Oryctolagus cuniculus: one gene and its partners. The protein of the gene in region 5 interacts with the protein of the main gene of each other region in a pairwise test. Links are inferred from orthologs where the notes say so. Each region holds a gene or a part of one and is shown on either strand. Other genes may lie near its edges.

Evidence for each region.
Region 1: the proteins of RBPMS (region 5) and PER1 interact in a two-hybrid assay, tested with the Homo sapiens proteins (2 studies listed by BioGRID). The link is inferred for Oryctolagus cuniculus from reciprocal best matches to the Homo sapiens genes RBPMS and PER1.
Region 2: the proteins of RBPMS (region 5) and GCM2 interact in binary tests that used the Homo sapiens proteins (3 or more experiments, as listed by UniProt). The link is inferred for Oryctolagus cuniculus from reciprocal best matches to the Homo sapiens genes RBPMS and GCM2.
Region 3: the proteins of RBPMS (region 5) and QKI interact in binary tests that used the Homo sapiens proteins (3 or more experiments, as listed by UniProt). The link is inferred for Oryctolagus cuniculus from reciprocal best matches to the Homo sapiens genes RBPMS and QKI.
Region 4: the proteins of RBPMS (region 5) and POM121 interact in binary tests that used the Homo sapiens proteins (3 or more experiments, as listed by UniProt). The two-hybrid records come from large-scale screens. The link is inferred for Oryctolagus cuniculus from reciprocal best matches to the Homo sapiens genes RBPMS and POM121.
Region 6: the proteins of RBPMS (region 5) and TFG interact in binary tests that used the Homo sapiens proteins (3 or more experiments, as listed by UniProt). The two-hybrid records come from large-scale screens. The link is inferred for Oryctolagus cuniculus from reciprocal best matches to the Homo sapiens genes RBPMS and TFG.
Region 7: the proteins of RBPMS (region 5) and CCNK interact in binary tests that used the Homo sapiens proteins (3 or more experiments, as listed by UniProt). The two-hybrid records come from large-scale screens. The link is inferred for Oryctolagus cuniculus from reciprocal best matches to the Homo sapiens genes RBPMS and CCNK.

The regions. Positions count from the first base shown.
Region 1 is NC_091448.1:52,634,356-52,636,732, reverse strand, and holds the end of PER1 (period circadian protein homolog 1), read left to right. Parts: intron 1-37; coding exon 38-227; intron 228-572; coding exon 573-723; intron 724-1,014; coding exon 1,015-1,302; 3' UTR 1,303-1,877; downstream 1,878-2,377. UniProt on the Homo sapiens protein: Transcriptional repressor which forms a core component of the circadian clock.
Region 2 is NC_091436.1:159,772,536-159,776,629, reverse strand, and holds the start of GCM2 (chorion-specific transcription factor GCMb), read right to left. Parts: upstream 2,801-4,094; coding exon 2,711-2,800; intron 519-2,710; coding exon 266-518; intron 165-265; coding exon 52-164; intron 1-51. UniProt on the Homo sapiens protein: Transcription factor that binds specific sequences on gene promoters and activate their transcription. Through the regulation of gene transcription, may play a role in parathyroid gland development.
Region 3 is NC_091436.1:5,210,496-5,213,995, forward strand, and holds part of QKI (KH domain-containing RNA-binding protein QKI), read right to left. Parts: intron 3,094-3,500; coding exon 2,950-3,093; intron 1-2,949. UniProt on the Homo sapiens protein: RNA reader protein, which recognizes and binds specific RNAs, thereby regulating RNA metabolic processes, such as pre-mRNA splicing, circular RNA (circRNA) formation, mRNA export, mRNA stability and/or translation.
Region 4 is NC_091450.1:50,673,903-50,678,175, reverse strand, and holds the start of POM121 (nuclear envelope pore membrane protein POM 121), read left to right. Parts: upstream 1-1,473; 5' UTR 1,474-1,513; coding exon 1,514-2,085; intron 2,086-2,732; coding exon 2,733-2,948; intron 2,949-3,215; coding exon 3,216-3,374; intron 3,375-4,273. UniProt on the Homo sapiens protein: Essential component of the nuclear pore complex (NPC). The repeat-containing domain may be involved in anchoring components of the pore complex to the pore membrane. When overexpressed in cells induces the formation of cytoplasmic annulate lamellae (AL).
Region 5 is NC_091433.1:80,573,674-80,577,173, reverse strand, and holds part of RBPMS (RNA-binding protein with multiple splicing), read right to left. Parts: intron 1,786-3,500; coding exon 1,655-1,785; intron 1-1,654.
Region 6 is NC_091435.1:55,298,795-55,302,294, forward strand, and holds part of TFG (protein TFG), read left to right. Parts: intron 1-764; coding exon 765-932; intron 933-3,500. UniProt on the Homo sapiens protein: Plays a role in the normal dynamic function of the endoplasmic reticulum (ER) and its associated microtubules. Required for secretory cargo traffic from the endoplasmic reticulum to the Golgi apparatus.
Region 7 is NC_091451.1:43,336,013-43,340,240, reverse strand, and holds the start of CCNK (cyclin-K), read right to left. Parts: upstream 2,801-4,228; 5' UTR 2,558-2,800; intron 2,461-2,557; exon of another isoform or gene 2,241-2,460; intron 1-2,240. UniProt on the Homo sapiens protein: Regulatory subunit of cyclin-dependent kinases that mediates activation of target kinases.

The DNA of each region.
Region 1 (2,377 bases), on a different chromosome or scaffold from region 5:
CCGGGCAGCCCACTCAGCGGTTGCCCCTCACTCACAGGCAGCAGTCAGAGCAGCCACACGAGCAAGTACTTCGGCAGCGTGGACTCTTCAGAGGCAGAGGCTGGGGCTGCGCGGGCCAGGGCCGAGCCTGGAGACCAGGTCATTAAGTATGTACTCCAGGATCCCATTTGGCTGCTCATGGCCAATGCTGACCAGCGTGTCATGATGACCTACCAGGTGCCCTCCAGGTGAGGCGGGTCCCAGGCCTCTTCCACCTCCCTTGTTGAGGTGGTGGGGAAGGCAGCCCCAGCCCACCCTCCCTCCCCAGCTAACGTGGAGTTTTCTTCCCTGGGACTCTGTCCTGGAGGCTCCATCCAGCCCCTGGCCCCCTGGAGCCCCATCAGTAGTTTCCCCGACTTGAGAGCAGGTTGCCTGGGCTCCGAGAGCCATGAGCCTCCATCGCCCCAGCTGAGGGGAGGAGCACGAGGTAGTGGGCGGGGAGGTTGCTAGAGGCAGACTGCCAGCCTCGGGGGTCCTGGCCGCCTGGCCTTGGTCCTGGATCCTAGCCTCTGCCTCGAACCTTCCCCGGGCAGGGACGTGGCGTCCGTGCTGAAGCAGGACCGGGAGCGGCTCCGGGCCATGCAGAAACAGCAGCCTCGGTTTTCCGAGGACCAGCGGCGGGAACTGGGGGCTGTGCACTCCTGGGTCCGGAAGGGCCAGCTGCCTCGGGCCCTTGATGTGATGGTGAGAGAAGTCTGGGGGCGGGGGGCTGGCAGGGGATTGAGCACAAGTTCAAGGCAGAAAGGGTAAGGGCTGGGTCATGAATTCCATGAGCTGCTGGGTGGCGTGGCTGAACTGCCATGCACCTGCTCTTGCCCGTGCCCGTGGTGATGGTCCCCTAGTGGCATCTGGGTAGCCAGTAGGACCCCAGGTACACATTGGGAAGCACCGCTGGGCCCCGGGGCCGGGAAGCTGGGTTGGCGGACAGCCCTGAGGAGCCTCCTGCCTCACTCGTACCCCCTTTCTCTCTCCAAGGCCTGTGTGGACTGCGGCAGTAGCGCCCAAGACCCCGGCCACCCTGAGGACCCTGTCTTCTCGGAGCTGGAGGGACTGGGGCTGGAGCCCATGGAGGAGGGTGGAGGCGAGGGTGGTGGCGGCGGCGGTGGCGGCAGTGGTGAGGGTGAGGGTGAGGGTGGTGAGGAGGCCCGGGCCCAGGGGGAGGCCAAGGTCTCCGGCTCCCAGGACTCAGCCATGGAGGAGGAGGAGCAAGGTGGGAGCTCATCTGGTCCAGCCTTACCCGCCGAGGAAAATGGCACCAGCTAGGCTCCATCCGGGGGCCACCTCTGGGCGGGGAGAGGCATCCTTCTGTGTCCTCATGTCAGAACCCAGAGGTGGCCAGACCAATAGGAAACGGCCCCAGCTCGTCGGGGGCGGGGGCTGGACCCATCACCAGCCCGGGATCCAGGGACTGCCTCTGTCCTGTTAGGCAACAGCGGGTGGAACTCCCCAGCGCAGCCTGGAGGGGTGTCCCCTGCCACCCCTGGTGAGGAGCGCGCCCTGCCCCAGCCCAGGTTGCTGACAAGCTGCTCAAGCAGTCCCGCCGGACCCCACGGAGCCCCAGCGTCAGCCCGAGGGTTCACTGCACTTATTTATTGGGGAGATGGCTCTCTCTCCCACCTCCTCCCCACGTGGGCCGAGGGACTGAGGGCCAAGCAGGACCCAGGGGTTCGAGCCCCTAGCTGCTCCAGGGTGGGGGAGGTTGGTGGACCACGGAGTCCCTGGTGCTGCCCCTCAGGTGGGACCCAGGCGTTCTCAGCTGTTCCCTCTACCAATGGCATTTGTGTTTTTGATATCGTGTCTGTTATTATTTTTGTAATACAAAACCGGAAAAACAAAAACCATCAGGACTTTGTGGAATGAAGTTTGGGAGCGGGGAGCTGGAGCGGGGGGTGGGGTCCCGCTCCCCCGGAGGGCTGCCTGAGGGTGTGGGCGCTGCTCTCCCTGCACCTCCACTGAGGGCCCTTGACGGCTGCAGACGTCAGCACCAAACTCCGACTCCACGCTCGCCCGCGCATGGCCTCAGCTGGTGTCCCGGGAAGGAGAGATGGATGGAAGGGGCCCGGCTCCTTGAGGTCACCACACCGAGGGGGTGGGGTAGGGGAGGCCCTCGGGCAGCGTCAGCCTAGGTGCTACGGGCACCCGTTGTCCTGCACCCATGGGGAAAAACTGGGCGGGACGTTGACCTCCAGCCCGGACCCCGAGGGGCAGGGGCGAGCCGGGGGTGGAAGGACGCGGCGCCGGGCCTCTCCGCAGCCTCGTCGATGGTGTCTCAAAACAGCTGATGTGCCGCGAGACAGGCCCGCCTTCCCGCCGGCGCCGTGGCTTAGCTGGTTAAAGC
Region 2 (4,094 bases), on a different chromosome or scaffold from region 5:
ACCGGAGCTACACTCCATGCCCATCACGAATTATAGTCTCACCTCACCTACCTGAAAAAATATGGCGCTGCCGTCAAGCCGCCAGAAATTGGTTACAGGGTACCCGCTGTGCCCTCGACAAGGAATCAGCTCCAAAGGCGAATGACAGTTGGGGCACGCCTTCTCTGCAAACCCCGGAGGGAGAGAGATTAGACCCTGGGCTCTGCGGGAAGATGGGGGAGAGGACCCACGACTCCCAGGCCGCCCCGCCCCGCCGCGCCCTCACTCTGCTGTTTCAGCCGCGCCTTGTCGCAGATGGCCGGTCGCAGCTGCAGCCGGGAGCCGTCGGGCAGGACGCAGCCGTGCGCGCACACCACCACGCCCAGGCACGACTTCTTGAGGATGTGGCCGTTGTGGTTGTTGGTGTTGCGCATGGCCCAGCCGCTCTGGTGGCGCTGCGCCTTCTTCTCGTCGCTGCTGTAGATGAAGCGCACGTAGCCGTCGGGCCACTCGCGGAAGTGGTCGAAGTGGGCTGGCTCCTGTGAAGACAGGTGCTGAACTCGGCCGGGCTCCAAGCACACGCACCGCCCTTTTCTCCAAGCCCATTAGAAGAAGAACAGGTTATTGTTCAATCCAAAAAATGTTGCAAAACACCAAACCATACCACCACAAAATGCTGCTCTTCCTGGCCTTTGGGACAAATGGCTAGTCACTGGTGAGTATACACTGCCTGTCTCCTAAACGCTACACTGTATTAATTCATCTAGCCTTTACCACATGTGCAGGCAGGAAGTACTACTCTGCCCATTTTACCCACTAGAACATGGACATCAGAGGGGTCAGTTGGCGTGGCCAAGGTCACACAGCTCACAAGACCCAGCTCTAGGATTTGTACCCCGGCACTTGGACTCCACAGCCTATGTTTCTTACCAGTTCTTGGTTTGTTTAAATGCGATTTTCAAGTGGAGTGTGAAAGTGCCAGGGTAAAAAAGGGACTGCAATTCTCTATCATGGGGATGAACTTTATCCTTGGAAAAATCTGTATTACAGCCCAGTGTGTTTTTTTTCCCAAAAGCTCTTGATGCCCTATGCCAAACCAAATGGACTTTAACATAATCAGCAATGTCTGCAGAACATCAGAGAAGCAAAGACAGCTTTCCTCTAGACTGCCAGCTTAGCATAAATTAATATACTGATTTAAGGTTAAGTCCCAAGTGATGTATTCATGCTGCTAACTCCATGTTTTTATTAAACGCGAGTATCTCTGAACATTCAACTTTAGCATCTTAGTAATAAACCAGCCACTGAGAGTATACCCTGAGTTCTGTCCTGACGGTACAGACTGAACCCCCCCTGACGGTACAGACTGAGCCCCAGAGTTCACCCAGCTACGGGGCCAGGGACACGGCAGGTGAAGACACAGAGGAGGTTATTTGAAAATCAAAACATCAGCAAAGGATTGCAGGATTGGGTTTCATTCGCTCTGACATGCTTGTATGTGTAGAGATACACACAAAGAGAACAGGACTGTAGGGCCAAGGCAGAGCTGAGATGGTTATCTAGTTCCTCCACCTGATGACAGGTCCATCTCTGAGACTAAGGCAAACTCAAGGACTCTCTCAAGGTCAGGGAGCCTGTTTAGCTTCTCCTTTGGTTAGGCAGAGCAGTGCTAGCTTGCTACGTTTCCTCTATTTTCTTTCACTATTCCAATGAGTCTGTTGCATTTGAGATGTTACACACATTCCCTACTGAAGAACCCATCTCCCAAGCAAAAGAAAATCCTTGAGAGATGAGCCATTGTTGCATATTTGGAGGTGACTCTCACCTAAAATACAAGTTCAGAATGTTTTCCATGAGGATTTATGTGGACAGAAGTCAGCAAGAACGAGACACACGTGTGGACTGTGGTCCACTTGTGCACAGATGCACAGTGCAGCACTGAAGTAGGTAGACTTTGAAACAAACTACAAAGTGCACGTCCAAAGACATGTTGCATTCCAATGAAATGCTGTTCTTCTGAACACCCATCTGGCACATAATAGAAGATAAATAAATGCTATGTCTCTTGACCCTGTGCCACCATGTTGCTGCAGGTCTACCTTCACAAATGTGTGGGGAAGCAACTCCCATGGTCCCCTCACCTGCAACCAGGACTTTTTGACTTGAACCAGCATCACCAAGGGTACTGCTCAGTTCCCAGTTCATTCTCTCTATTCCCACCCATTAAAACAAAAAATTCACCCTAAAAGAATGACTATGCTGATGGCCCCATGAGTGTAACTGTGGAGTTTCCTTCATCCAGGCAGTAGAGAATGGCTGAATAAATTGTTTCAGATTCAAGTCGCCTCCATTTACAGCCTTCTTTCACAGTTTGAATGCGAGAGAAGCAGTGGTATTTACATTGTTGAGATTCTTCCCTCAATTTCTACTGGATTTCAAATAAGTGGAGGAGCAGAGAGGCATTTGATTTCTCTCTTGGGTAAAGGAAAGTGAGGGAGTCTACTGTCTCCTGATGGCCTTTTCCTGCTGCCTTCGCTGTGTTTTGAGACAAGCGCACAAGGAAATCGCGGGGAGAAGACACAGCCCCAAACCCAGATCTATCTTTTGTAGAGAATACAGAAATTCCCTCTGCGTGTGAGGGCGCTCAGAAATGGGGGGGGGGGGGTCTGCTCACAGGGTCTCTGCCATTTCCCCTTCTCTGGATGGACCGCGCCACGCGTGCCGCTCTCACCTTGGGCATGTGCGGATCATTGATGTCCCAGGTGAGCTTCATCCCATGGGAGCACACAGGGTCCGCGTTCTGCCCGGCGTCCACCGGCATCGGTGCGCTTCGCCCGCGCTCTCCGCGCGGGATCCTGAAAGAGAAGAGAGGAGAGGGGCGCACGGCGGCTTTTCTCTCTTTAAAAGGAAAGGTGTGTGTGTGTGTGTGTGTGTGTGTGTGTGTGTGTGTGTGTGTGTGAGAGAGAGAGAGAGAGAGAGAGAGAGAGAGAGAGAGAGAGAGAGAGAGAGAGAGAGAGATAAAAATCCAGAAGCTGCGCGCTGTAGCTCGGGAGCCAGGCAGAGCCCTGTCCCCGGCTGCGGTGCTGAAGGCACTCGCCCGACCCCAGCATCCCGCACGTTTATAATCGCTCAGGTGCAGCCGCTCCGCCTTTCCTCGCCCCCCTCTGTAAAGTCACCCCCTCTCCGACAGAGCCAGGAACCGAGACATCAACGTTGAGCCGAGCCGGGAAGCCAAGGGAACCTGACGCTAAGGCGCTGGGACGGGGGTGGGGTGGAAACGTCTCATTTAAGTTGCAAACCAGTTTACTTTGAAACTCGCCCAGGCTCCGTGTTTCGGAGAGGGGCTTAGATCTAGGACTTTGGTGTGGAGCTTTTCCAGCTAAGTCCTCCGGGAGCCAGCCCTGAATTCCGGGGCAGCGCGGGAACCCTGGTCCGGGTTTGGAGCTCTTGCGGTTGGTGTTGTGCGTGTCCCGGAGCCTCTGGACTTTCGAGGGGTCACTGGGCGTTCCGTGTGCTGACGAGCCTTGGCGCGCCCAGGCCACCAAGGGCTGCAGGGGGACCTGGCCGGCGGGAAGGGAGTCCGGATGGGGACCCCGAAGGAGGCGGGCGAGATGCGCCGGAGTTAGCTGGCCAGGGCCAGGAGCTGAGCTGGGCGGGCCAGGCGCCTGAGTCGCCAAGAACCTGCGGATCTCTCTGCTGCCTGGACATCCTTCAAGCTGCAGCTTTCGTAACTGCGGGGCCGACGTTGCCAACGCTCTCTAAACACAACTGTTTAAAAATACATACTTATCGATATTGTGGCAATCTCACGACGAAATCTCACTTATTCCATCACAGCCTTGTGAGGCCCCGGGGGCCTGGAGGACCCCTGGCGAGGACGATGTGGTTCCCAGGGCTAGGACCAAGCTGTCTTCACCTATGCGGTCGCCTCACCTACGCGCCCGCAACTGAAGCGACTAAAAGCGCTGCGCTTCCAGAATTTGCTCCCTGAGCTCTTGTCTTGCTGCCCACAGTTTCCAACCCTGGTCAAAGAGAGCCGAGCGTATCACTGTTAGAAGCTGTTCCGTACCAGCACGGCTCTAAGCCTGGAGACCCGCGCCCCGTGCGCAACACCG
Region 3 (3,500 bases), on a different chromosome or scaffold from region 5:
CAAAGACAGTAATTATCAATTATGGAGAGGTTTTGTTTTGTTTAAATTTCTGCTTAACCCTGGTATCACCAAATATTTAATAATGTTCACCTTAATTAAAACAAATTCTCTAATACAGTATTCATGTCATAATAAACATATTCAATAAAATAAATAAGAAATTACTGCAAGTGTTAAATCACTGGATAGAAGCCAAACCAAAAAGTCTGTACTTTTTATCCTATGATTTATAATTCTAAGAAAGTTTTATTACCTCACTGTAAGTAATTTCAAAAAGCACAATTTAAAATTGTTACAATCTGTTCAATAACAATACTAAATTCTTCTATAGAAGATAAATAGGTTTATCATCAAAAGTGAAATTTTCTCCTTCAGGACATAAATTAAGCTTTTTAAAGTTTCTGTCATTCTTTTTATGAACTACCCTACCACCTTTTCATATTCAAAGACAAACCACTTTTAAAACAAAAAGTTCTGGGGCCAGCCCTGTGACGCAGCTGGTTAACACCCTGGCCTGTAGCGCCAGCATCCCATATGGGAGCTGGTTTGAGACCCAGCTGCTCCACTTCTGACCCAGCTCTCTGCTATGGCCTGGGAAAGCAGCAGAAGATGGTCCAAGTCTTTGGGCTCCTGCACCCGTGTAAGAGGCTCAGAAGCAGCTCCTGATTCCTAGCTTCAGATCGGCACAGCTCCGGCCAGTGCGGCCAATTGGAAAGTGAACCATTGGGTGGAAGATATCTCTCTCTCTCTCTCTCTCTCCGTAACTCTGACTTTCGAATAAATAAATCTTTAAAATAAATAAATGTAAAACAAAAAGTTCTTTGGAGATTGATTGCTATGACTCTCACTTTATAAACACATAAACAGATACAAATAAGTTGGAAATTTCTCCTACTTACACATCCAGGTGGAACTAATAGCCCAATATGCTTACAAAAATTTTTTTATATAGCTTACTGAATACAACACATTTATTAAAGAAAAGTTATACAATTACATGGTATAATAGTGGGCAAACAGAAATTCTAATTTATGCTCAACCTACTTATTTGTATTCCTTATAAGGTCAACAGAACTTAAATGAAATTTTTCCTTCCAAGGAATTAATTTTGTAAAGTTAATGGAAAGTGTATATAATTGGTGAGTTTACTTTTAGAAGACACTAGCAGGGTAATAAAGATTAGACTATCTGGAAAATAAAAACAGCAGATGCCATATTCATTTATGTCAATGTTAATACATTTTTGGTGGGCAAAGTACTAACAGTGTTATTAGTTTTTCAATGGCAATTAGGGTCTATCCTTCCATGTATTCTTACTATTGTAAAACAAAATTTAATAGTGACTCAGAAAACCAGTAATTTTCACTTCCTGTTGAAAAAGATAATAGTCTAGTAATAGTTGTAATCGCCATTTTAAAAATTACTAAAGGGTTACCTATTAATGAGAAGCACACCCAAAGGGAGAAGAGTAAAGAAAATGGAATGGAGGGAAAGAAGAGAACACAAAATTGTGTCTGAGTAATTTCTTACGAGATGTCACCCTCAAAAAGCATTCAATATCCTATTTACGACCTCTAAATATGAAATACAATAGTTTTATGATCATAGAAATAATAGTAAAGTTAAAAAGCTGCTCTGAATCATGCTTTACATTAGTAAAAGCTATCGTTTAAGTTTATTAAGATGACTTTTTATTACATTAAGGGAAAGTTTCAATTAATGTTCACTAATCTTTCTATAAGAGATAATGAGATGCTACCCCGAGTACCTGTCACTCATAGACAATTCAAATTACATGCTCCTACTAACACATCCCACCTACCTTGCATAAAAGTTAGTGGTAGAGACATCTACAAACTTACTACTTGTTCACAATAAGAAACAGCTTTTGAAAAAGAACAGCTTTCATTACCTTGCTGATGCTGTGCCTACATTCTCCTCGTAAATATAGTGATTCAAAAGACAGCATTTTTGAGAAGTCATATTGTGTCTGCTACTTCCTGCATAACTTCTTTACAAAAATTTATGGGAAAATGGGGGCCAGCGCTGTGGCACAGTGGGTTAACGCCCTGGCCTGAAGCACCAGCATCCCACATGGGCGCCGGGTCGAGACCTGGCTACTCCAATTCCAATCCAGCTCTCTGCTGTGGTCTGGGAAAGCAGTAGAAGATGGCCCAAGTCCTTGGGCCCCTGCACCCAGGTGGGAGACCCGGAAGAAGCTCCTGGCTCCTGACTTCAGATTGGCGCAGCTCTGGCCATTGCGGCCAACTGGGGAGTGAACCAGCAGATGGAAGACCTCTCTCTCTCTCCTCTCTCTGTGTAACTCTGCCTTTCAAATAAATAAATAAATCTTAAATACATATATATATGTGTGTGTGTGTGTGTGTGTGTGTGTGTGTATATATATATATATATACACACATGAAAAGGCTTTCCCAGTTAAGAATGTCAGCAATGTCTATGGTTTGCCCATTAGACTAGCACTAAATGAGCTATAAATTATTTTTATATTTTGTGGTTAAATGATAACCTATTCAGGGCCGGCGCCGTGGCTCACTAGGTTAATCCTCCGCCTGCAGCACGGGCATTCCATATGGGCACCAAGTTCTAGTCCCGATTGCTCCTCTTCCAGGCCAGCTCTCTGCTGTGGCCTGGGAGGGCAGTGGAGGATGGCCCAAGTACTTGGGCCCCTGCACCCGCATGGGAGACCAGGAAGAAGCACCTGGCTCCTGGCTTCAGATTGGCACAGTGCTGGCCGTAGCGGCCATTTAGGGGGTGAACCAACGGAAGGAAGATCTTTCTCTTTGTCTCTCTCTCTGTCTATAACTCTACCTGTCAAATAAATTTTTAAAAAATGATAACCTATTCTCCATTAGACTAAACAGCCATTAATTTAAAAAACCCTGAGAAGTGAGACCGAAATTTAAGATTTGGAAATAACTACTTACTGCAGGTACCAATAATTTCTTCACTTCCTCGACTGCTCTCTTCAGCTTGATTTCTGCTCTGTTCTGAGCATCTTCCACAGTGATTAGAACATGTAAGTCTTCATTTAGATGCTCCCAATTGGGTTTGCCTCTATTTTGCTCCTCCTAAAAAAATTACAAAATACAGTGTTATAAATTTTTCTCTTTAAAGAAACTATAACTGCATTATGTTGCCATGGTAACATTACAAACCTTATGAATTATTTCCCTCCCCCCACCACACACACACACACACACAGCTTGGGAATAAGACTACTAGGTTAAATGACAGATCCTATAATGAACACTTGTTGAACACCTACTCTGTATAGGAATGGAGCCAGATGCTAAGGATACAATAGTTGCATATGAAATCCCACCCTTTATAGAGCTTCTAAGTACAAACAAACTTTATATAAGGTATCACTAAATTATCAGGAGAAACAGTTTGAGAAGCAGGTTATTATTTCCAATTTCCTTAGGCGTAAACAGAATGTTGTCAAGGATAAGAAAGACAATTGCAAAAGAAGTGC
Region 4 (4,273 bases), on a different chromosome or scaffold from region 5:
GTGGCTATCTGGGGAGTGAACCATTGGATGGAAGACCTCTCTCTCACTACCTCTCTGTAACTCTTTCAAATAAATAAAAAATAAATCTTTAAAAAAAACTTGGGGGGCGGGGAGAGGAACCCAATTAAGGGGCAGTCAGCTCCTCCTCCTCTCTGCACAGGGGTCCCTCGTCTGGCTGGAACTTGTTCCAGCTGGTTTGTCAGCTCCATCCCGAGCGGCTTCCCTGCCCTCCTTCCCCTCTTCATTCTGTTATGCAACCACAACTGCGGGGCCTGCTTCCTGCACCAGGAGGAATTGTCACGCAAAGCAATTTATCTGCAGCAAAAAAAGGAATCTGAGGGGAATCTTCCCAAAGCCTCCGTTGTTTTAGGAGGACTGACTATGTAAGAAGGGGCGTTCTTGTCAGAGGGAGGGGTGGGCTCCAAGGTAGGCTGCGTGTTGTGGTGATGAGGCTGACGCTCCTCCAGGGGCCACGCTCGGGAATGACAGGTGGATGCCCTTAGCGCCGTCTGCGCCAGTGCTCTCCTGCCAGGTAAACGAAAACCTGAAAGAGCTTTGGACGCCGTCAGCTGCTTCCACGGTTTCCAAACAGAAGCGAGTTCCAGTAAAGACTTCTGGGCTACTGAGGGCACTGGCTGGTGACAGTCCCTTCTCTCTGCGCGTCTGCTCGCACCCGTCACACACACGCGGAGTTGTGCACCTTTCTTTCCCCACTTAACCGGAGAGCCCTGAAGCTCCGATCTGTCCTTCCCCCTTAAGTCCTTTAACGCCTGTCGACGGGATGGATGAATCAGTGAGGAAAGCCGAGCCAGGCCAAGGTCTGCAATGGCAAACCACCAGGTCTTTAAAAACAGCTTCCTTAAGGCGTAGCTCGCAGGGTCGTGCGACCAGCACCACGCCGTAATTCTGAAACACTTTGTCCCCTAAATCGGAAACCCGTGAACCAGGAGCGGTCGCTGCCTGCTCGCCACCCTGTAGACCCCGGCAACCGCCGATTCCCCTTTCTCAGACGGACCGCAAACCCTCAAAAACCGCCCCTCGTCTCGGGGACCTGCAGGAGCACCGTCCGGCTGGGTCCGCAGTGTGTTCAGAGCTAGATCCCCGCTGCCGAGGCGGGGCGCGGCGGTCCCGCTCGCCACCCTTGCGGTTCGCCGTCAATCCCCGTTAGCTGCGAACGCTCCGTCGGAAAACCGGGCTAACTGCGAAATCCCGCACCGCTGCGAGCAATTGTGCTGAGTGCCCGCCGCCCAAGACGTGTGAGCGCAGGGTGCTGGGGAGAGCAGCCTTCCGCAGCGTCGAGTCCTTAGGCGAGTCCTCCGCGGACGGTGCGCGGGACACCTCCCGCAAGCAGCCCGCACTTTCCCGAACCCGGTCGGGAGCGGGCGCGGGCGTTGCCGGGCAGGAGCGCTTCCTCCGGAGGCGCCGCGTCCGAGTCGCGCGCGCAGTGACGCATCCGGCGCGCGGCGCGGTGCACGCTGGGATATTTAAGTCTTCTCCGCGGCGCGGAGCCGCGATGTCTCCGGCGGCTGCGGCGGCTGGAGGCGAGCGGCGGCGGCCCATAGCGAGCGTCAGGGCCGGCCGGGGCGCGGGCGGAGGCTGGGGCCGCGGCGGGCCGGCCTGGGCGGCGCTGCTGGGCCTGTCGCTGCTCGGCCTCGTGCTGTACCTGGTGCCGGCGGCGGCCGCGCTGGCCTGGCTGGCCGTGGGGGCTACCGCGGCCTGGTGGGGATTGAGCCGTGAGCCCCGCGGTTCGCGCGCCGTGTCCTCGCTCGTCCGGAACGCGCGGCGCCAGCGAACGTTGCTCGCTTCGCCCCCGGCCAAGGCGGCGGTAAACGGCGATCTCCTAGAGCCGCGGACCTTACTCGAGGGACCCGACCCCGCCGAGCTGCTGCTCATGGGCAGTTACCTGGGCAAGCCCGGCCCGCCGCCCGCGGCCCGCGCGCAGGAGGGCAGGGACCTGCGGGAGAAGCCGGGCCGCAGCCCGCCCGCCCGCGCCGGCGCGCCCGCGCCCCCGGCGCCCCGCACCCCGCAGGCTTACCCCTCCTTCTCCTCCCCTGTTCTCCGACCCAACAGGCGACCCTCCTACAGGTAGGACACGCGGCCCACGGCCTCCCCCGGGCGGCTCGGCCTTGCCCTGCAAACCGCGACTCGCGTGTGGTTTTGTGCTTTTTACCGAAAACCGTGGTGTGTGCTGGCCGCCCCCGGGCCTCCTATCCCTGTAGGAACGAGAGACCGTGTGGCCAGAGCTCTCCCTCCCACTTGCAACTCCTGCACTTCAGTGTGGTCTTGATTTATCCGAATGTTTAGTAACCCCCGACGTGTCCCTGCTGGTCCTGTCGCGTGCTGGCTGCGGCCTCGTCTGGACCAGAGGTTCTGTTCGCAGAGCTCCGGGAGGGATTGGAGGCAGCACCTCTCAGATTTAGTTAAAGAAACGTTTTCGTTTGGTTCCGGTAGCCGACAAAAGGGGGATGGGTTAGATTTTTGGTGCAGAAGGCGTGCCTGGGAGTGGGTGCGGTAGAACCCCTCCCTGCACGCCCCGGCCGCACACCGCCCTGCCACTGCTCCCTGACTTGTTTGGGCAAGGTTTTAATTTCCCTCTCAGATGGTTGAGGTCTGAGCCCGTGCCACCCTCTGCCCTCAGCTGGAATGGGTAGGGGGCGTTGCCATAGAACCATGGTGGTGTGGGTCGCCTGGGAATCGCGCGGGCTCACGCGGGCCGTCTCCGTTGCCGGCAGGGACTGTGGGACTTTATCGAATCGGTTCGTAATTACGCCCCGAAGACGCTACCCGATCCAGCAAGCCCAGTACTCGGCGCTGGGAGTGCTTCCCACCGTGTGCTGGAATGGTTGTCCCAGGAAAGCTGTGCTCTCCGTGCGCAATTCCAAGATGGTGTGTAGCCCAGTGACCGTGCGGATAGCCCCTCCCGACAGCAAGCTGACCCGTCCTCCGCTGTGAGTACCTCCGTCTGCGGCCACCACCTTCCGCAGTCCTGCTCGTGGCCAGCAGCCGTGGAGCCAGAGGGAGTAGCTACTTATCTGAAAGAGAAATCCTAAATTCTAGTGGAACGCCCATTTATCATGGTCTTGCCGGTCGCTTTAGGTTCTGGGGGCACTACACTCTGGCGAGTCGGTGGGCCCCCGGTTTCCAGGGACCGCACCTGTGCCGTTCGGAGTGGGGAGGGAGCATCTTCACTGTTTGGATCTCGTCTTCCATTCCAGCCCCGGGCAGACCGTCGACGCAGCACTGGCCTCACCGGCAGCCAGCGCCCCAGACCCGTGTGCGAAGGAGACTGTGCTGAACGCCCTCAAAGAGAGGAAGAAGAGGACGGTGGAGGAAGAGGACCGCCAGTCCCCAGATGGCCTGGAGAATAAGAGAAGGTGACAGGGCAGTGGGTGCTGACAGGCTCACGGGCCCGCAGCTCCTAGCAGCTTCCGCTGGAGAGCCTTGGCTACTCCCCAGCCTGGCTTTCGGAGAGGAGCCTGGCGACAAGGACAGGTAGAGGCCGCCCGCTTCCCAGAGCACAGGGCAGATGCGTTTTCCTGCGTTTTTTTTTTTTTTTTTTTTAAAGATTTATTTTATTTATTTGAAAGAGTTACAGAGAGAGGAAGAGACAGAGAGAGAGGTCTTCCATCCAATGGTTCACTCCCCAGATGGCTGCAACAGCTGGAGCTGTGCCGATCCGAAGCCAGGAGCCAGGAGCTTCTTCCTGGTCTCCCACGCAGGTGCAGGGGCCGAAGGACTTGGGCCATCCTCCACTGCTTTCCCAGGCTATAGCAGAGAGCTGGATCGGAAGTGGAGCAGCCGGGACTCGAACCGGTGCCTATACGGGATGCCGACGCTTCAGGCCGGGGCTTTAACCCGCTGTGCCACAGCGCTGGCCCCAGCTCCTACATTTTGATACAGATGTGTTCAGTTTTCTTTTCACACCTTGCCCTCACAGCTGTGTGCTTGGCAGTTATTTGGGTAATCACCAGTTAAATCCTGTATTTATGCTGAAGGAAACGCTTGTCCAGGAACAGTGAGCACCAGAGTAAGGCAGGCGGATCAGCGATGAGCGTGAAGCCAATTTCCCTATTTGGTTTTCATGCTAATGTAGTAAAAATGGAGTCTGTTTCCTGAGCGTGGGCAGAACGGAGGCTGAGTGGCCAGTTGGGTGCAGAGCACTCTGCGGCTGCCCAAGGAGCCACTTCAGGATTTCGCTCAGTTTCCGATTCAACAGGCACTTCCTGAGCACCCACTGTGTGCTGGGTCACAGTCCAGGCACCGTGGACAGAGC
Region 5 (3,500 bases):
CTGTCTGGCCCAAAGCCCCCCCCCCACCCCCCCCACGGCTCTTGGGCGCTGTCCACTCTCAATTCCCCAGGGTCACGGAGGAAGGCTCTGCTCTAGGTGACCATGGATGTCCACGAGACCAAGGCAGCGCGCGCTGCTTCACGGTGCTCACTGACATGGGCCTTAATGGCCAACTGAGCAGGCTCTGGGCAGCCTGGCAAGAGGAGAGGAGACACACCGCTCACAGCTGGGGCACTGGGAGACACACAAGAGGGGCTCCCGTGGCTGCTTCAGGTCACCCACAAAGAAGGACGCAGCTCACTGCCAACACAGCGGGCACCTGGTGCAAGAGAGAACCCTGGATTTCCGTGCTGTGCCCCCCGCCCCACATAACTTGCCAGTCTCTGAGGATTGCATCAAGCACTGACATGGGACGGAGAGCGAAAGCTACAGCGGATCTTTGCTCTCCTCTGCACCAGGCACTCTCACTACCACTGTCTTTTTTTTTGTTTTTTGTTTTTTTTTTTTTAATCCCCACTACTCATGCCACGCTCTACCTCCTCCTCCGAAGGCTGGCTGCTGGGGGGCCCAAGCGCCGAGGGCTCGTCTTTGGAGCTGACCTGTAAGGTGCTTGAGGCACTGGGAGAGCAGCCTGCACCTGCCCAGAGCACCCACAACTCAGCTGACGCACGGCGCGAGGCCGCCTGGCAGGGACCCTCGCTGCCGTCATCAAGAGAGTATTAAGTCGGGAGGAAGAGGGTTCTGGGAAGCTGCTTACCTCATGCAGTCTTATAAACAAGCCCTAAGAAAAACAAACAACGCCCTCCCCCACCTGTCCAGGCTGATTGGCACACGCAGTAGGACAAAGGACATTTACATCCCGTCTGCTTATTTGCTATCAAGCGTCACTCTCTGCAGGCCAGACACTGAGTGGTTTTTATTCCCAAAGGTGGAACCTTAACCTGGATCACTATTACTGCCACTAAAAGAAAACCTTGTCCCCCTGGGGAGAGGGAGCGCCAGTGTGTGGACGGTCATCTTTGAGCAGAGACACGGGAGTTTGTTTCTCAGACTCGGGCTATTCTTAGCTGAGAGAAGAGCCGGACAGGAGGACTCCGCCCTAACCTGTCCTTACGTTCTAGACAACACACGGGGCCTCTCCTGTGGGGTTTCCTGCAAAATGGGAACCTTTCCTGGGACGCACAGAAGACAGCGCAGTCTTCCCCCGGGGCACACGCTCTCATGGAGCAGGAAGCGGAAACCTTGAGACACACACACACGCACGCACGCGCACACACACACACACACAGCCCTCCTGCCACCCGGCAAGGCACACGCATCTATGGTCCGGTGACGCCCCCTGGCTAGCTGGCAGCTGGGGAGGTGACGCTGCCCCGCGCTCTCGTGTGTGCCATGAGGGTGAGGTCACGAAGGGGGCAGAGAGGTGTTGTTTGGGGACAAACATCAGGCAGTGGGTGATCATTGCTCTCAGACCGTCCTCATCAGTCCTGGGCAGTGCCAGCCGGATTTAGGGGAGTAGGGGGGGTCGTTAATCTCTTGAAGGTGGATCTGTTAGCCGGATAGGTGTTAGTGGTACGGTGTGCTCCGGGAGGGACCAGGTTGGAAAGGACTGGTGACGGGCGGAGTGAAGTCGTGGCCGATGGGTATCGATTACCTGGGCATGCAGTGAAGCGGGATAGGTGAAAGCAGGAGGAGGTAGAGCAGGCGCTAACTCCGCTGGGTACAGAGGGTACGGGGCCCACACTTCAGGGCTACTGGGGTAAAGTGCAGGCACTGTGAGCTCATCTGCAAGAAAAGAATAAGGGAAGAGTTAGTGCTTTCAAACCAGAAAACCCCACACCCGCAACCCCGAGTCCCGGGCAGCGCCGGAAGCCGGATCACTCTCAGGCCTGAACAACCAGTGGCTTCGGTTCCCTGGACTCCAAGGCAGGGAGTGGCAGACACAGAACTAGGCACATGGCGGGGGGCAGCCAGCACCGCCAGCCCGCTGGACCCTCTGAGAATCAGGCCCGGAACTGGCCTGGGCCCACTCGGACACTCTGACGTCTTGCCAGCTGCTGCTGGGGAGCCCACATACTGTAGGAATGGTCCCACGCAAACTCAAATGCGGCTCTCTCCAGGGAGAAGAGAGTCGAGTCGGCATGGGGAGAGCCCGCTACAGAGCACCTGGCCCAACGCTGTAGCCACAAGGCATCTCCGGTAAGAATCCAGAGCGTGGACGTGAACAGCCGTGAGTGTCTGTAACGAAGCCGAACAGGGTTTGCAGCTGCCGTTTCCACCGACTGCATTTTCCAGGGAAAAGAGTGATGTATGTTGCCAACTGCCGGGGCTAAATGTTTTCCTGCAGCTCCAGCTGCAGTCAGGTCAAGCTGCAGTTTGCCAGAGCTCGGGGCAAGGGCCGGCGCCTCACCCCGTATCGGGGGGCAATCCATTAAGAGTAATGGCAAACCCGCGAGGGAGCCCCTCCACCGCGGCAAAAAGACCGGCGGTCGATAGCGAGGGATTTGGAGCCCGCGGAGCAGCAATCTGGAGATGTGCTTTTATCACCTGTCAAAATCCGAAACCAAGGACGCTCCCCGGGACTGCCGAGGGAGGCAGGGAAAGGAGACTGGGCAAAGTCATTCGTGAGCCACGGCTAAAACAGCGCCGCTTCGCTCCTCCCCAGCACCTGGGCAGCCGTTTCAGGGCTGCCGTCTCCCTCGGAAACTCGGGGGCTCGGCAGGGTCCCCCTAACAAGGGAGGGGGGGCTGGGGAGAGCCAGCTGCTGGGGCACGGGGCTGCTTGGCGGGGGCGAGTCCATTCAGCAGGTGAATTCACCTCGCCTTCCCTCCCGGGGCACAACATGATCTCACACACATCTCCTCGCCACGAGGCAGTCAAACACACCCCCTCTGCCTAGGGCCGGGGCTGGAGCCAGCAGGCCACAGGAGTGGACCGAGCACATCTGACGACCAGGCCCACACCACCTGCTGCAGGGTCCCAGGCTGTGCAGGTGCAGCCCACAGCACCCGCGGTCCTCGCTGAGGGGCTGAGCACGCCTACCAGACCCCCGTGTTTCCGGTCATGACGAGGCCATCTGATTCCCATTAGGGAAACTCTTGTGGGAGCCCAGCTAGTGGAAACTAACCCCTGCCAGACCCAGTGCCTTGGATTTTAAACAAACAGCCATTCTCAGGAATGGCGAGCTATTACTGCTGCTGTTGTTGTTATTTTAGCTACCAGACTATTTTAAGATGTTCTGAGCCCTTTTTTAAAAGTCAAGAGCGTCTCAAGCCCCAGCTTGAGACAATTCTCTAGTCCACGCCGGCCCGGTGCCTGCTACACACAGCTGATCCAAGATCTTCAGGGGCACGTGTGTGGCCCGTAGCCTGCCAGTGCGCAACCTGCGGACCTGACCCGCGGAGGGGCTTCCTTCAGAAGGCTTACAAAACGACTTGAGTATGTCCCTTATGCTATCTGGCCCTAAAGCAATGAATAACAGATAAGATAAATCAGGCTGA
Region 6 (3,500 bases), on a different chromosome or scaffold from region 5:
TCTATATAATTTTTTTTAAAGATTTATTTTATTTATTTGAAAGAGTTACAGAGAGGTAGACACAAAGAGGTAGAGACAGAGAAAGAGGTCTTTCTTCTGTTGGTTCACTCCCCAGATGGCCACAATGGCCGGAGCTGCACCGATCCAAAGCCAGGAGCCAGGCATCTCCTGCGGGTCTCCCATGTGGGTGCAGGGGACCCAGGAGTTGAGACATTTTCCACTGCCTTCCCAGGCCACAGCAGAGAGCCAGATTGGAAGAGCAGCAGCCAGGATCAGAAGCAGTGCCCATATGGGATGCTGGCGCTTCAGGCGTCAGCCCACTGCACCACGGTGCTGGCCCTGATTTCTATGTAATTTAATAGTGGGCCAACACACAGGAGAAGTCATAAAAGTTGAGAATATAGTTTTAGCTTATTCTTGTACAAAATAAAGCATTAATTCCTATAACTGATCTTTCCTGAGTGCCCATTATGTATCTGATAAAGGATGGGATATATAGGACATAGGGCTCCATAAAAAGGTAAAATATTTTTATTTGTTAAGGAACTTGTAATAATTCATAGGGAAGGACATAGATTTTTCTTTTATTTTAAAGGTAAAAATATAAACATATATAAGGAAGACAAATTATACATAATCCTATATTCAGATATCTAAACAATATTCATGCAAAATGTATTTACTTCCCTGTCTCATTTTTTTTAACTTTATTGAATGTAGATCAAGAGGATACAAGTTTATTGTTTATTCTTGTGTTCTTATAGATACTGTGGATGGTAGGGAAGAAAAACCTACTGCTTCTGATTCTTCTGGAAAACAGTCTACTCAGGTTATGGCAGCAAGTATGTCAGCTTTTGACCCTTTGAAAAACCAAGATGAAATCAATAAAAATGTTATGTCAGCATTTGGCTTAACAGATGATCAGGTTTCAGGTACGTGAATACCTGCATCCCTCCCATATTTCTGTTTCTTCCTGTTTTTCTCCCTTTCCTTCTTTAATAGATGAATAACTTGCATATGGTTCAGTGAACAAATCATTAAGAATTCAGTCCAATAAAGTTTGACAGTTGTATACACCTGTGTGAAATACCAAACAGATCAAGGTGCAAATGATTTCCAGTACTCCAGAAAGCCTTTTTGTACCTTTACCCAGTTCAGTAGCATTCTCCCCTTTAAAGAAGAATCACTATTTGAGCCAAATAAACTTTACTGAAGGTAAAATTTGAAGAATTGTTTTGTAAAAAAATTTGAACTATGTTGTGATTTTATTTCACATTTGTTGCATGGCTTAAGTTATATTTAATAGGTTTAATTATCTCTTCTGACCTGACATTCAAGAAATTAGATTTCTTGTTAACTTGCTTTACTGGGTATGTTAGCTTTGTGTTACTGTAATTAGATACCTGTGTAAGAACTTGAATAAAGAGACAAAGTTTATTTAGCTATGGTTTTGAAGGTTCAAGAGCATGATGTCTGCACGGGCTCAGTTCTAACAGAGGCCCCAGCTGTAGTTACAAAATGGTAGAGCTTGGTGTGTAGAAGAGCCTACATCACAAAACTGGAATTCAGAGAGAGACTGGATCCCATGGTCCCTTACATGGTCTTTGGTTACCTATCAAGTCCTACCTTCCAAATGTTCCAGCACTTCACAGTTACTACCCTGGGGAACATGCTCTTAATTATTGGACATTTGGGAGAACGCTCAAACCATAGTGGTGTAGAAAGTGCTATTATATGAATTAGTGTTTAACCTTAAAAAAACACCTATGCTGGGGTTTGTACTTTATTTTTTGGCCGTCATGTCTTCATTTTTCTGCTTGTTTGTCTCTTTGGGGATTCTAATTTATACACAAAGAGCTTGATATTGTCTCCTGACTCTCTGAGGTTTACATTTCTTCAGTCTTTTTTACTCTGTGTTCTTTAGACTGAATGATTTCTATTGAACTTTCTTCAAGGTTGCTGATTATCTGTGCTATTTCCAATTTGCTGTTGAACCTTTCTAGGGAATATTTTATTTCAGTTGTGCTTTTCATCTCTAGATATTTTTTATAGTTTCTATTTTTTTCTGTTTGATAGTTTCTGCTTTTCTGTTGAGATTTGTTAACTTACGTTCATTAAGATATTTTCCTTTAATTCTTTGAATATATTTTTAATTCTTTTTTTTTTTAAAGGATTATTTTATTTATATGAAAGGCAATCTTCCATCCTCTGGTTCATTCCCCAAATAACTGCGATGGTCTAGGCTGGGCCAGGCTGAAGCCAGGAGCCAGGAATTCCATCTAGGTCTCCCTCTTGGGTGCAGGGTATCCAAGTGCTTGGGCCATCTTCTGCAGCTTTCCCAGGAACACTAGCAAGGACCTGGATTGGAAGAGGAGCAGCTGGGACTTGAACCAGCTCTTTGATATGAGATCTGGCATCTTAGATGGCAGCTTAACTGTTGCACCACAGTGCTTACCCTGTTTAATTCTGTAAAATGTCCATAATAGCTGCTTTGTTGTTTGCCTGCAATATTCAATATCTGGGCCCACTGGGAATCAGTTTCTATTGACTGCTTAATATTCCTCCCCCACCCTTGGTATGGTTGTTTTTTCCTGTGTCTGTGTCTGTCTGTTTGGTTGTAAACCATATATTGTGTTTAATATGTTGAAGTAACTTGTGATTCTCTATGTTCTCTTAAAAGATTTTTCTTATTCTAGCTCTAGTAGGGAGTTAATTTCTGTGTGTGCAGACTATTCTCTCTTTTCTTCACATGGGGCTCAATCCAGCTGTAGGTGCTGCTTTCTTCTGAGCTTTCTGGGATGTCCCCAACCCTATCCTTCTGCTGTTTCACTCCCCAGTGGCAGCAAAGACTAAGGCTGGGTCAGGCTGAAGTCAGAATCCAGGAGCTTCATCTGGGTCTCCCATGTGGGTGGTGCAGCTTCCAGACCATTAGCATGGAGCTGGATTGGAAGTGGAGCAGCTGGGACTTGAACTGTCACCCCCATGGGATGTTGGTGTCACAAGTAGTGGCTTAACCTGTTATGTCACAGTGCTATGTTTATTAATTTGGAAGAATTTTTTGTAAGTTACAGTGCTAGACCTTGTGAGGCAGACAGAATCAAGAAATAGGTATCTGACTAAAAGAACTCGTAGCTTAAGAAGGAAGATGGGAGATGTTCAGAAATGTAAAATAGACATTGGATCATAATAGAAAGTAAACTACATTGAAGCTCAGTAATGGAAGAAAGTATTTGTGAATCAATAAAGCTTACTAGAAGTATGTAATTAAAAATGGGTTTTAAAGAATTGCGTATTTAAATATGGAATGTTGTATTTAAATATGAGTGAATTCTTCAGAGAGTTCATGGAAGACATGAAAAAAACTGTAGATTTCGGACCTTTTTGCGTCAACATAAACTTTTAACTCCATTTTCCTTTAATTTTTTTTTTTTTTTTTTTTGACAGGCAGAGTGGACAGTGAGAGAGAGAAACAGAGAGAAAGGTCTTCCTTTGCCGTTGGT
Region 7 (4,228 bases), on a different chromosome or scaffold from region 5:
TGTGGAATCTGAAGTTATTCCAATTTAAAATAAATTACTGGACTGTGGGAAAAAAAAGTACTTATGTTTTACTTATTTGAAAGGGAGCTCTACAGAGAAAGGGCTCAATCCTCTATCGGATGGCTCACTCCCTAAATGGCTGCAACAGCTGGGGCTGGGCCTGGAGCTTCTGCTGGGTCTCCAGTGTGGGTGCCGGGTGGGCCATCTTCTACTGCTTTCCCAAGCACCTTAGCAGGGAGCTGGATTGGAAGTGGGACAGCCGGGTCTTGAACTAGTGCCCACATGGGATGTTGCAGGTGGAACCTTAACCTGCCACACCAGGACCAGCCCTATATTGATCTCTGTGTGTTCCGTTCCTTCCCTAGATCTGCTACATAGATGGCACAAAATAACTACCTTGTAAGAACTCTCCATCACTCCCACCTAGAGACTTTTAAAGCCTTGGAAACAGTTTCTCTGACCTAATGATTGCCTTTGAAATATATGAAGACAATTTTGCCTACCCCTCTTTTCTCCAAGGTAAACAAATTAACCATTTTTCCATAAGGGTTCTCAGGGTTTCTAGGTCTTCTCTAAATATTAGCCATCAAAATGAGAAAAAAAGAAACTCTGTAAGATCTATGTAACAGGTGGTCTGAGAGTAACACGTCCACGGTGTGTCCGCAGAGCTGCAGCTATGGGGCAAGTTACCTGTCTTACCCTTACAGCTGATCCCGGAGAAAACCAGCCGAGGAGACACGAAGTAACCTGCCCGGTGCACACCGCTGGCGAACGGCAGTCACAATTTGCTTCACTTCAGACTGAGATACTGCCTTCCCTCAGTGCAGCCACTACTTTACCTCCAGAACGGAGCACCACAACCCGGAACCATTTCCTGTCAAGCCAGTTCCTCCTCATCTCAAATACTCACAACTGAGATTTTGCAAATTTCGGTGTAAATTTAAGTTTTTGTAAATGTAGTGTCGTTCTTCTTCAGGACGACACTCACATCCAAATGCTTCGGGTTTGGTAATTTGAGCGGACGCCCATCCATCCGACTACAACGTCAGCCAAGCCGCCCAAATGTCCAGCAATCCCGCAGCCACCACCAGGGCCTGAGTCACCCGGCCCCGCAGGCCCGAGGGGCTCCGCTCTCCTTTCCCAAGCGCTTGCGGGAGATTCTACAACGGGTGACAAAGCAGCGCCCGGGAGCCGTCTCCGAGAGAACGGACACGCCCCGGAGCTCAGTTTTCCATCACAACTGCACATCTGGGGCTCCTCCAAAGCCACGGACAAGCGTATACAACCGACTCTGCCCCTCCGCGTGCGCAACTTCATCTGCGCTTAAACCCGGGAATGAGGCGACCCAACCAGATCCGCTCCGCCGTCTCAGTGACCCGGCAGGTATTTGTCCTCGCCCAGTCCTCATTTCCCTTCCTTCAGACACTCAGCAAACTCACCGCTTTCCACAGTCTCCCAAAACGAAGCTCATTCCTTACTCCAAAACTACGAGTGATTTTTTTTTTTGCTTTATGAGACTGAACTTAAAAAGAGCATTCAAATCTTAAGAATCGCATAAACAATTCAAATGTTTCTTTATTGCTTGCTGGTGCAAACTGCATTTTCCAAACAGCACACGCGTGAAACACGACTTAGGCAAGAATCCACCAACACGCACGACTAATGCGTCACTCGCTGAAGGGCGGTTTCGCTCGAGGTACCACCTTAAAAACGCGACAGGCCGGACAGCAACGGCCCCGGTCAGTCGTCCCTAACCTCCCGGGGTCTGCAAGAGCTCCGTTGAACGGGCCACAGCTGTCAGCGCCCTCGCTAACCCCCGGACCCACGCCCCGAGTTCCTGAGCTAACAAACCAACCCGAATCTCATCGCGGAAGTGCCTCTTCCCATCCCGCCGGCCCACCCCCGCTGCGTCCAGGGTCCGCTGCGGGGAGCGTGGGCGGTCCGCGGCTGCAACCCCTGCCCGGTTCCGCCACCGCAGGGAGCTCCTGGAACCCCAACCGGACCGCGCAGGGAGCGCGGCTGCCCGCTCCAGGGCCCACCCCGAGTCCCCGTCCGGCCCCTGCGCCTCAGCCCCTCTGCCGAAGCCCGCCAACTTCAGCGTGCACAGGAGGCGAGAGGCGGGGTCCGGAATCAGGGAAGAGAGACTCCGCGCGCGGACGGAGGCGGGTGGCCACACCCTGCTCCGACCCCCGGGTGAGCGGGAGCGGGGCGGTACAGCCCGCAGTCGGTAGGACACTCACCCCTCGCCTCAGGCAAGCCCCTTAGCTACGTCTCTCCTTGCCGACCGCGGCCATCTTGGATGTGGAATGCTGGGAACTCTACGTCATCGCGCTGCGTCGCGCAACGTAAAACGAGCGACCGGAGGAGCGGTGCGCACAGGCGCCTGCCAACCAATCAGAAGAAAGTAGAACTCCCAAAAAAACTAGCGAGCCGGGGGCTCTGCTCCCCGCCCACCCCGCGGTAAGCAGCTGCTGCGTGCAGGGGGAGGAGCCAGCCAAAGTGCCCGGCCCGACGGCCCCGCCCCCCATGGCGAAAGGGAATTCGGGAGCAACCGAACCTGCTAACGGAACTTGGGTGCGAAGGCGGGGCCCGAGCCGCCAGTTGTCCAATCAGAGCTATGGCGTGGACCCAGTCCAGCCAATGGTGGTCTCGGGGCTGGCGGCGGCTGATCTGGCCGCTCTGGCCCCCGGGAGCCACCAGCCCAATGGCTGCGGAGGATCCCGGGCGGAACGGCGGCCCGGCGGCGGGGCGGAGCCGCGCCCATGCGTGCGCGGCGCGGGCCAATGAGCGGCGGCGGCGGCGGCCCGGGGGCGGAGTCCGGGGGCGGGCGGAGCCGGGTTGGGCCGCGGCTGCGGGGCCGTCTCAGGCCGCCGTCCCGCCCTCCCGTCCGGCCGCCGCCGCCGCCGCCGCCGGGTTGGTTGAGGCGGACGGTGGGGTCCGAGCGCGAGTGAGGCGCCGCGCTGCGCGGAAGGGGAAGCGGGCAGGTGAGTGTCGGGGCGGCGTCTCCGCGGGCACGGGCCGCGGAGGTGGCCGGCGCCTCGGCCCCCGAGCGCTTCCCGGCCGCTGCCCCTCGGCCCAGGTCCGGCCCGCGCCCCAGCCGGCCGCTGCGGGCCCCGGCGCGGCGGGTGCGAGCGGGCAGGGCCCCCGCCCTGAGGCCCAGCGGGCGGGCGCGCCCACGAGTCCCGAGGCGGCGGCAGGTGCAGCGGGCAGCCCCGGCCGCGGGCTCCGCGTGCGGCGACGCCGCGCTCCCGTTCCTGCCGGCGGAGGCTGTGGAGGTGGGGTCGCGCTCCCTCCCGACGCTCGGGGCCCCCGGGCCGCGCAGTTGGCGAGACCGCCCGGGAAATAGGTCGGCGCCGGCCGGCGTCCGCCAGGGGCCCGAGCGGGGCGTTCCGGTGGTAAACTCTCGCTTCCTGCCCGCGGCCGCCGCGGCGCGCAGCCCTGGCTCCCCGGGCTCCCCGGGCTCCGCCGGGCCTCGGGGGCGGCGCGGCCCCTGCCCGGCTGGCCCTCGGCGCGGCGGCGGACTCCCGAAGTGTGCGCCTGCTCCAGCCCCTGCGCGCCCCGAGAGGTCGCCCTCCGGCGAGGGTGCGTCCGGGCCTGGCCCCCGGTGCTGGGGGTCCCCCCGGGGCCGTGTGGACTCCGCCGGCCGCCGGAGCGCGAGTTTCATCCCGAGTAAAAGCTCTTCCTCCTCTTCTCCCTCCTCCTCTCCCTCCTCCTCTCCCTCTTCCTCTCCCTCTTCCTCCTCCTCCTCTCCCTCTCCCTCCTCTTCCTCCTCCTCCTCCTCTTCCCACTCCCCCACCTCCTATTTTTTTCTCAAAATTGACCCTGCCGGTGTTTAACACCGGAGCTGCGGCGGCGATGTCCATTATTTTGAGCGAGTGCGCTCAGCTCCAGGCTACGGCAGGTTGGAAGCGGCTTTGGCGCGCCAGGCCGTGTCTATGCGGGCTTCCCGGCGTGGAGTCCTGCCTCGCCAAGTGAGGCCCCGGGGCTGCCGTGCCTGCCGTCTTGGTGAAGGGCCAGCGGCCGGCCGAGGCGCTGTCTCTGGCTGGGAGAGCGGCTCGCGCGGCCGAGTGCTCCGGCAGCCACAGGGCGGCCTCTGTCGGGACCCGGCGGCCTCTGCCCTCTGCCTCCCTGGCCCTAGGGGAACACCTGAACTGGAACTCCCGGCCGAATGGGCCAGATGGAGGCCGCTTCTCCTGCGAGGGAGCCGGGGTCGCCAGGTGGGAGCGCT